Linked DNA regions of Saccharomyces cerevisiae S288C. The gene in region 1 interacts genetically with each later gene. Each region holds a gene or a part of one and is shown on either strand. Other genes may lie near its edges.

What was found. A genetic interaction does not mean that the proteins touch.
Region 2: mutations in OCT1 (region 1) and ICP55 impair growth when combined (synthetic growth defect), as found in Saccharomyces cerevisiae (one study listed by BioGRID).

Annotation. Positions count from the first base shown.
Region 1 is NC_001143.9:188,624-193,459, reverse strand, and holds OCT1 (metalloendopeptidase), read left to right. Parts: upstream 1-2,017; coding exon 2,018-4,336; downstream 4,337-4,836. Other genes in the region: RCI50 (Rci50p), read left to right, coding at 390-1,781; APL2 (Apl2p), read left to right, coding at 4,820-4,836. UniProt on the Saccharomyces cerevisiae protein: Cleaves proteins, imported into the mitochondrion, to their mature size.
Region 2 is NC_001137.3:315,836-320,733, reverse strand, and holds ICP55 (aminopeptidase), read left to right. Parts: upstream 1-2,391; coding exon 2,392-3,927; downstream 3,928-4,898. Other genes in the region: AIM9 (Aim9p), read right to left, coding at 1-771; YER079W (uncharacterized protein), read right to left, coding at 1,182-1,814; YER078W-A (uncharacterized protein), read right to left, coding at 1,924-2,088; MRX1 (Mrx1p), read left to right, coding at 4,134-4,898. UniProt on the Saccharomyces cerevisiae protein: Aminopeptidase which cleaves preprotein intermediates that carry destabilizing N-ter amino acid residues after the mitochondrial processing peptidase (MPP) cleavage site and is thus critical for stabilization of the mitochondrial proteome.

The sequences.
Region 1 (4,836 bases):
CTTTACTTTTACTTTAAACTATGGCATTACATTCCAGCTTTTCAAGAGTTATTAGTGATTCATTACTTATAAAGTTTTTCCGACCACATTTTGATACTTTGTACCTGATATAGATAAAACAATTACCTTATAAATTGATTCTCTCATATTTATCTTGATGAGAAAACGATTGAGGAGATTTGTGTGTAATTTGGTTCTCGTAACAAATACCATTAAATAATCCTTGACTAGTAATACATACCAAACAAAGAACGATTTGCGGATACTCAGCCGCACGAAAATTTCTAAAATTGAACTAAATCCTTTAGGATATATAAAAGGGCACAAAGTGAGAACGTAAAAACAGCATTATAAAGATATTGTAATGAAGAAATTTATGCTCATTTAGTATGTGGAAATACCTTCATAGATCAGTCAAAAATGAAGGGACCGTAGAACGGCTCACTAACCTCAACTTATTTACCAATCACCGTTTCAAGTTTTATTCTACATTAAAGGAACAAAGTTTTTGGAGAATACCATTCAAAAGAAGGAGCAAATTACAGAAATGGGTGTTATCGACAGGCATCGTAAGTTTCATCGCTTTTAACATATGGTGGGTTTATTGGCCACATCATACTTTTCCCAAACCCGTTGCTAAAATATTAAGGAAGGGGTTACATTCAGAAATTAAGAAAGAAGGTGCGAACTACCAAAAAAGCCTTGAGTACTACCTCGAAGCTTTAGAAGAATGTAAAGCCGAAAACGTGGATCTACTTTCGGATGAATATACCGGTATTGAAATCAAAATCGGAGAAATGTATGAGAAATTACATATGTATAATGATGCTACAGCTTTATATGGAGACATGCTGAAAAAGTTCTATAATGAACTAAGCAAAACTACTGATAAGTCAACGAAGAGAAAATTCTTTTTGTTGAAAAGAGACCTTCAAATTTTGGTAAGGTTCAATGAAATAAATAAAGACTCTGAAACTAATGCAACGTTATTGATAATGCACCTTTTATTAGCTCAACGAGAATTTTTGGAGAACTCACCGGAGTTCAAAAATGTTCTTTCCAAATCAGAACTTTTAAACAACCAACAGCTTGACTGGAAGAATTTCAAGGGTCTACCATTTATTGGTAAATCCAAACCTGACTACCAAATGCATTTAAACTCTAAAAGAAAACAGGAGTTGAAGATAAAGGAACCTGAAAGCGAACAATGCGTTTTCATGAAAGAACTTCTGACTGCAAGAGATTTATATACTCGTTACTGTCTCAATCGGAGTAATCTTTCTGGGGCCTTGAATAGCAAAATAACAACACTAGAATGGATGTTACTAGCGGATAGTCCTCTGGACGACATCTTGCTTGCCCAGGCAGAGCTCGGGTCGATTTTTTATCTAAATTCAGAGAAGTTCGAAGGAAGTCTATACGCTATTGATAATGAACCGTACAAAAAATCAGAACCTTTAGAACTTATTCGGTCCAGGTTACAAGAAAACCAGAATTCCTGCTTACAGTACTCGGCTGACTGCTATAAAAGTATTATCAGCTTTGCCAATGAAAATCAATATCCAAAAGTTGCAATGGAAAGCGAAATGGATCAGAGAATACTTAAGGCATTATCCCTTGCTCACTACGGTATTGGTGTGATAAATTTGCATAAGGGACGCTTGAGGGCATCTAAGAAGGAACTTAAAAAGGCTATTCGTATTTCAGAGATGATTAGATTTAATGAACTCATTGAGGAAGCTCAACGTGAACTTAAAAAGGTTGATGGTACGCCTATATAAATCTTACATTTGTATATATATTCTTCTAAATTTTCATCAATATGTTGAAATGCCGAAAGATGTCGATTCCTCATTGGATATGGCGAATTTTACGTCACCGCCTCATGAACAAAAGTGAGAAAAATACATATATAGCGTCAAAATCAAAACAAATGATGAATTTACTTGCAAAGACTAAATGTGTAAGGGAATAGGTATCAGAACATTAAGTGAAGGCGCCGAAAGTAATATCAGTAATGCTTCGCACGATAATATTGAAAGCCGGGTCCAATGCCTCCATACCGTCACCTTCCCGCCAAAATAAGTTACTCAGGTTCTTCGCCACAGCCGGCGCAGTCTCTAGGACCAGTCCAGGAAGCATTAAGAAGATTTTCGACGACAATTCATATTGGAGAAATATTAATGGTCAGGATGCTAATAATAGCAAGATCTCACAATATCTTTTTAAAAAAAATAAAACCGGACTTTTCAAGAACCCTTATTTGACTTCTCCAGATGGTTTGCGTAAGTTTAGCCAGGTTTCTTTGCAGCAAGCACAAGAACTTCTCGACAAAATGAGGAATGATTTTAGCGAGAGTGGTAAATTAACCTATATTATGAACCTGGACAGATTAAGCGATACGCTATGTCGAGTTATTGATTTGTGCGAGTTTATTAGGTCAACACATCCAGATGATGCATTTGTTAGGGCAGCACAAGATTGCCATGAACAAATGTTTGAATTCATGAATGTCTTGAACACTGATGTTTCCTTATGTAACATACTAAAGTCGGTTTTAAACAATCCAGAAGTGTCTTCGAAGTTAAGCGCAGAAGAACTTAAAGTTGGTAAAATATTATTGGATGATTTTGAAAAGTCAGGAATCTATATGAATCCAGATGTTAGAGAAAAGTTTATCCAGTTATCTCAGGAAATCAGTTTAGTAGGTCAAGAATTCATCAACCATACAGACTATCCTGGTTCAAATTCTGTGAAGATACCATGTAAAGATCTGGATAATAGTAAAGTGAGTACATTTCTATTGAAGCAATTAAATAAAGATGTAAAAGGGCAAAATTATAAAGTACCTACATTTGGGTATGCAGCTTATGCATTATTAAAAAGTTGTGAAAATGAGATGGTAAGAAAAAAGTTGTGGACCGCTCTTCACAGTTGTTCTGACAAACAGGTTAAAAGATTGAGTCACTTAATCAAACTAAGGGCAATCTTGGCTAATTTAATGCACAAAACAAGTTACGCAGAGTATCAATTGGAAGGTAAAATGGCAAAGAATCCGAAAGATGTTCAAGATTTTATTTTGACGTTAATGAACAATACTATAGAGAAGACAGCAAATGAATTGAAATTTATAGCTGAACTCAAGGCCAAAGATCTTAAGAAGCCGTTGACTACAAACACGGACGAAATATTGAAGCTCGTGAGACCATGGGATAGGGATTACTATACTGGCAAATATTTCCAGCTCAACCCGTCAAACTCTCCCAATGCCAAAGAAATAAGCTATTATTTTACATTAGGAAATGTCATTCAGGGCTTGTCAGATTTGTTTCAGCAAATATATGGTATTAGATTAGAGCCAGCAATTACTGATGAGGGAGAAACATGGTCCCCAGACGTGAGAAGATTGAATGTGATATCTGAAGAGGAAGGAATCATCGGCATAATTTATTGTGATTTATTCGAACGAAATGGCAAGACTTCAAATCCGGCTCATTTCACAGTTTGTTGCTCTAGGCAAATATATCCCAGTGAAACTGATTTCTCAACCATCCAAGTCGGTGAGAATCCAGACGGTACCTACTTTCAATTACCTGTTATTTCTTTGGTGTGTAATTTTTCTCCAATACTAATCGCTTCTAAAAAAAGTCTTTGTTTTTTGCAGCTTAGTGAAGTTGAAACGCTCTTCCATGAAATGGGACATGCAATGCACTCAATGTTAGGGAGAACTCATATGCAAAACATAAGTGGTACAAGATGTGCTACTGATTTTGTAGAGTTACCAAGTATCCTGATGGAGCACTTCGCTAAGGATATACGAATTCTGACAAAGATTGGCAAACATTACGGGACTGGAGAAACAATTCAGGCTGATATGTTACAGCGCTTCATGAAAAGCACTAACTTCCTTCAAAATTGTGAAACATACTCTCAAGCAAAGATGGCTATGCTGGATCAATCATTTCATGATGAAAAAATCATTTCTGATATTGATAACTTTGACGTTGTGGAAAACTATCAAGCACTAGAACGACGTTTAAAGGTCCTAGTGGACGATCAGAGTAATTGGTGTGGAAGATTCGGCCATTTATTTGGATACGGGGCAACTTATTACAGCTACTTATTTGATAGGACGATAGCTTCTAAAATCTGGTACGCCCTTTTCGAGGATGATCCGTACAGTCGAAAAAATGGTGATAAATTTAAAAAGCATTTACTAAAATGGGGAGGGCTAAAAGACCCTTGGAAATGTATCGCTGATGTTTTAGAATGCCCCATGCTAGAGAAAGGCGGTAGCGATGCGATGGAATTTATAGCACAGTCTCACAAGTCTTAGAGAACAGAGTAGGTGCTTAATCGAGGCCATTATTTGCCAACGACGTTTATTCATAGCTGAAGAATTCTTTTCACCAAGAAAAAAAAATTGCATAATCTTATAAATACTAAGACCCATTATTTAAAAGGGTCTGAAAACCATCGATCATATTGCCTGAAAAACGAACATGCATATGTTAATTAACGCTTTACAAACAGAGCATAATTATTGTTATTCTTTTATATACTTCATGTCTTATTGTCACATCTACTGTTTTCGCGTACAGAATGATATTATGAGTTTCAAATCTTGTAGTAATATCAGAAAGAGCTCTTTTCAGTGAAGAAAGCCTACGATATAAAGAACACTTTCCCAATGACTAAGCGTTATCTGTTGTAGCTTTATTGTCATAATACACCAATTATCTGGGTACGAACTCACTTCCTGCAGCTTAGTTTTTTTTTTTGCTCAGCTTCCCACTGCACTTAAAAAACAGTTTCAACTATGCCACCATTGGATAA
Region 2 (4,898 bases), on another chromosome or scaffold:
AGAAACTTGTTTAATAACATTGTCATATTTTTTTTGATTGGAGGAACCGTCTTCAATCAATGGATCCCAATCTTTCATCAAGAGTTCTCCTTCGATAAATTCTTGTAAGACAAAAGGCTGCCTTACAGGGTTCAAAGAATTGACACCATAACAAAAAATCTTGGGAACTTTGATGCCCAACTTCAAGTCAGCAAAATCCATGGTTGCTACTTCACTTCTTATTCTGTAGGATAGAGTGTTTTCATTTTCCAGCGGATAAGGAATCCTCAAGATAAATGCCTTGTTCAAATTCGTGTCGACCTTGTATATTCTGTGATGTTTACCTTCGTGAATACTAGATAATGTGGTTACTTGAACTTTTTCATTTGGGTTGATTTTACCTATATTCTTTGGTACAACGTTATTGACCAATGAAACGGTCAAGTTCTTGTTAAACACTGGTGGTAAGATCTTACCGTCGGGGGCCTTAGCCATTTCATTAGATTGAATGTAGATGTCATTGAGAATGCGATTTAAACCTTCAATCGAAAACTTCGTGAATCTTTTTTCCTTTTCTTGCTTATCATTTTTAAGCCATGAGCCCCACGTATATTTGAAAAAGGCATCTCTCTTTGGATCATTGTCATTCGTTAGCTTGGTAAAAACTTCGTTTGGCTTATTGGAGATAAATCTCTTGGTGGCGGCGACGGTGATACATTTAATTGCACCCACTCTTTTCGAAGCTCCTACTACACACCTTCTGGAATGGCCAGCAACAGTGTACCTAATCATGCTTGGTCTTCGTATTGCTGTCTTGCTTGCTAAACAGCTTTTGCTACTTCTTCTTCGCTGATGAGAAAAGGGAGTCTACTAAATACAGTTCGGCTTAAAGTGTCGCTGGTCAGCAATCGGCCCGAAAATACATTGAACATTTGAAATTACCATGTTTCAAAACGAATATTTATTATAATTATTACTAGTAAAAGTTATACATAAGAAGGGAATAATACAAAGAAACGGGAAACAGCTAAATGTAGTATATAGCCGAAAGATGTGGACATATCCCAACAAATCGTCTTATGAGATCCTTTTTTTGTTTTATATTTTTTTTTTTTAGCGGGTATAAACGTATCATTTATATATTTTATTCTTTCCTTTAACTCTCAAAATTTGAGCAATTAGGTTACTGTGGTTCACGTGATTCAAGTGTGCACATTGCTGCTATGCTTTGTAGTATTATCCATAGAGTTTAGGGAGGGGGAATGGTCGGAGAGTGGGTAATTTGCATTGTCTAATGGAGCAGAATCAGCGTTACTTTTCTGGAAATAAAACTGGTCCGATAACGAAGTAGTAGAATCAGAGGTGAGATTGGAGTTGGAAGTGGTGTTGAGTTTGTAAAACTTTTCGGTTTGATCATGCGATACCTTGTATTTGTCATCCTTGTCATTCTTCTTTTTTTTGTTCTTCTTTTTGTTCTTAGGGTCTACCATATTGCTAGTCTTCGGGGTAGGAGACTTTGTTCCATTATTGTGATCATATTGTTTTCGAACCATGGAATTCAATAAATTAAGTGAATATTTCGGAATCCCATCTCTTTTGACATTAATCCCCTGAATACCATCCTTCGTGGCAATCATGGAGGCACCTGATGTGATGGAGCAACCTGAGTTCGTTCTCGTTATCCTATCTTCACCAGAGGCAATATTGGAAGGGCTCATTGATCTCTGATCTAAGTCCAGGTTAGTAGACCTGTTATTAGTGTAAATGGACTGATCATAGAGAGAGATGGCAGATGCAACATCTTTTGAGCTTATTGAATGTGATGAATCAGGCATTATTAACTATTCGCTTCCTTTTCTTATCTCAGCAGTTTGTGTTTTTTATTCTTATTGTTATTATCCCTTTTAACTATATATGCATAAGCTAAGTTAAATATTAAAATATTTATATATAAACGTTACAGGGCGTGTGAACACATTTGAAAAAATGCTGGAAGGTAATGGTAGATATAAGAATTGGAATAACAGGTTGATAGAGAATCGCCAAGCTAGAGAGTTCTGACAAGCGGCAAGGGGGAAGGATGAGACGCAGATACGAAAGCCGCACCATTAAACCGTAAAGAGAGAAAAATAAAGAATGACTTATTTCTCGGAAAGGCCAAATGCAATTATGCAACACGCACACATTCACACTCACACTCACACATAAACTTTGACTGAAACCAAAACTGTTGTGAGTAATAGCCTTTCTTGTTCATAAAATAGTACAAGATACAGTAAATATATATCAACTCACCTGGTATAGGGATCACTTACTGCACTGCAAAAGTGGATCGTTTGCGCAAGAAACTCCACCAATTCTAAAGAATATAATAGAAAAAGCTAATAGGAAAAGTGGTCATTTTCTGTTGATATGTTACATAGGATAAACCCAGTACGGTTTTCTATGCAATCTTGCCAAAGATACTTCTCGAAGTTGGTATCGCCATTGGAACAGCATAAAAGTAATACTTTTACTAATAGAGTCAGAATCCCCATTGAGGCAGGCCAACCACTGCATGAGACAAGGCCGTTCCTTATAAAGTCGGGCGAGTTGACACCAGGCATTTCAGCCTTGGAATACTATGAAAGAAGAATTAGGTTGGCGGAAACATTGCCTCCCAAAAGTTGTGTGATTTTAGCTGGTAACGATATCCAATTTGCATCTGGAGCAGTATTTTATCCGTTCCAACAGGAAAATGACCTGTTTTATCTTAGTGGTTGGAATGAACCTAATTCGGTCATGATTTTAGAAAAGCCAACGGATAGTTTAAGTGATACAATTTTCCACATGCTGGTTCCGCCAAAGGATGCGTTTGCTGAAAAGTGGGAAGGATTTAGGTCTGGGGTTTATGGTGTTCAAGAAATTTTCAATGCCGATGAATCTGCTTCCATTAACGATTTGTCTAAATATTTGCCCAAAATAATTAACAGGAATGATTTCATCTATTTTGATATGCTATCAACTTCTAATCCCAGTTCGTCCAATTTTAAACACATCAAGAGCCTGTTAGATGGCAGTGGGAATAGCAATCGATCATTGAATTCCATTGCGAATAAGACCATCAAACCCATCAGTAAAAGAATTGCAGAGTTCCGTAAGATCAAGTCCCCTCAAGAGTTGAGAATTATGAGGAGAGCTGGCCAAATATCAGGAAGATCGTTCAATCAAGCCTTTGCTAAAAGATTTAGGAATGAGAGAACTTTAGATTCCTTTCTTCATTACAAGTTTATATCCGGTGGTTGCGATAAGGACGCATATATCCCCGTGGTCGCTACTGGTTCGAATTCTTTGTGTATCCATTACACAAGAAACGATGATGTGATGTTTGACGACGAAATGGTTCTTGTAGACGCTGCTGGCTCCTTGGGTGGTTATTGTGCTGATATTTCGAGAACGTGGCCCAATAGTGGGAAATTCACTGATGCACAAAGAGATCTCTACGAAGCTGTATTAAATGTTCAGCGTGATTGCATTAAGTTATGTAAAGCTAGCAATAACTATTCCCTCCACGACATCCATGAAAAGAGTATCACACTCATGAAACAGGAATTGAAAAACTTGGGCATAGATAAAGTCTCCGGTTGGAATGTTGAAAAATTGTATCCGCACTATATTGGACACAATTTAGGTCTAGATGTTCACGATGTGCCTAAAGTTTCCAGGTACGAACCATTAAAGGTTGGACAAGTTATTACTATTGAACCGGGTTTATATATTCCTAACGAGGAATCATTTCCATCTTACTTTAGAAACGTCGGAATAAGAATTGAAGATGACATAGCCATTGGTGAAGATACTTACACTAATTTAACTGTTGAAGCAGTGAAAGAAATTGACGATTTAGAAAATGTCATGCAAAATGGCTTATCTACAAAATTCGAGGAGGACCAAGTGGCACCACTGTAATGTTATTGCTAAATTGAGTACACCCTGTATATACAGATACATAACTTATCGATTTAAGGTCTTTTAATATTAAACGGAAAATTCAAAAAAAAAAAAATTTACTGAAAATATCTTGAGATACTTTTCTTCAGCTTTCTTTTTGTTTTTTTCCTCTTCTTCTTGGGCACTGCTCTTTAGTTTTTATTTTTAGTTACGGCAAAATAAAGATGGGTCTAAAAATTACAAAAGGACAGCTGAGAACCAAGGATCTGAATCAATCATCCTCAAAGTCATCGCAGTCTTCAAGAATAGGTGTAGACACTTGTATATTTACTAGAATGCTACCCCGAATAAACACTGCAATTAATCTCACAGAGCATCTGCTGAGAAGATCTTTTCATTCACTGACAAATCTACAGAAAACTCAAGTAAAAGAAAGACTACATGAGCTAGAACGTCACGGTTTCATATTAAATAAAACATCCAAACAATTGGAAAGGATAAATTCTAAGAAAAGAAGACAATTGAAAAAACTGCAAAAGACAGCATACCCCAAGGATCAAGCTTTTCATATTCTTCGAAAATTTCATAAAATAAATAATGAGGCATTAGCAGATACAAAACTGGGGCCAACTAGCCAAAGCGACTTGAAGTTCCTATCCTTAACCAAAGATAAGAGACTCTTTTATACCATACTAGGCGTCAATGGAGAACAGTTACGTGATTCCAAATTAATCGCCAATGATGTTCAAAAATTTTTGAAAAGAGGACAACTGGAAAAAGCTGTCTTTTTGGCTAGGCTAGCTAAAAAGAAAGGCGTCGTTGGGATGAATTTGATTATGAAATATTATATCGAAGTTGTGCAGTCCCAACAAAGTGCTGTAGATATCTTCAATTGGCGAAAAAAATGGGGAGTCCCTATTGATCAACATTCCATCACAATCCTCTTTAATGGGCTCTCAAAACAAGAAAATTTGGTCTCAAAAAAATAC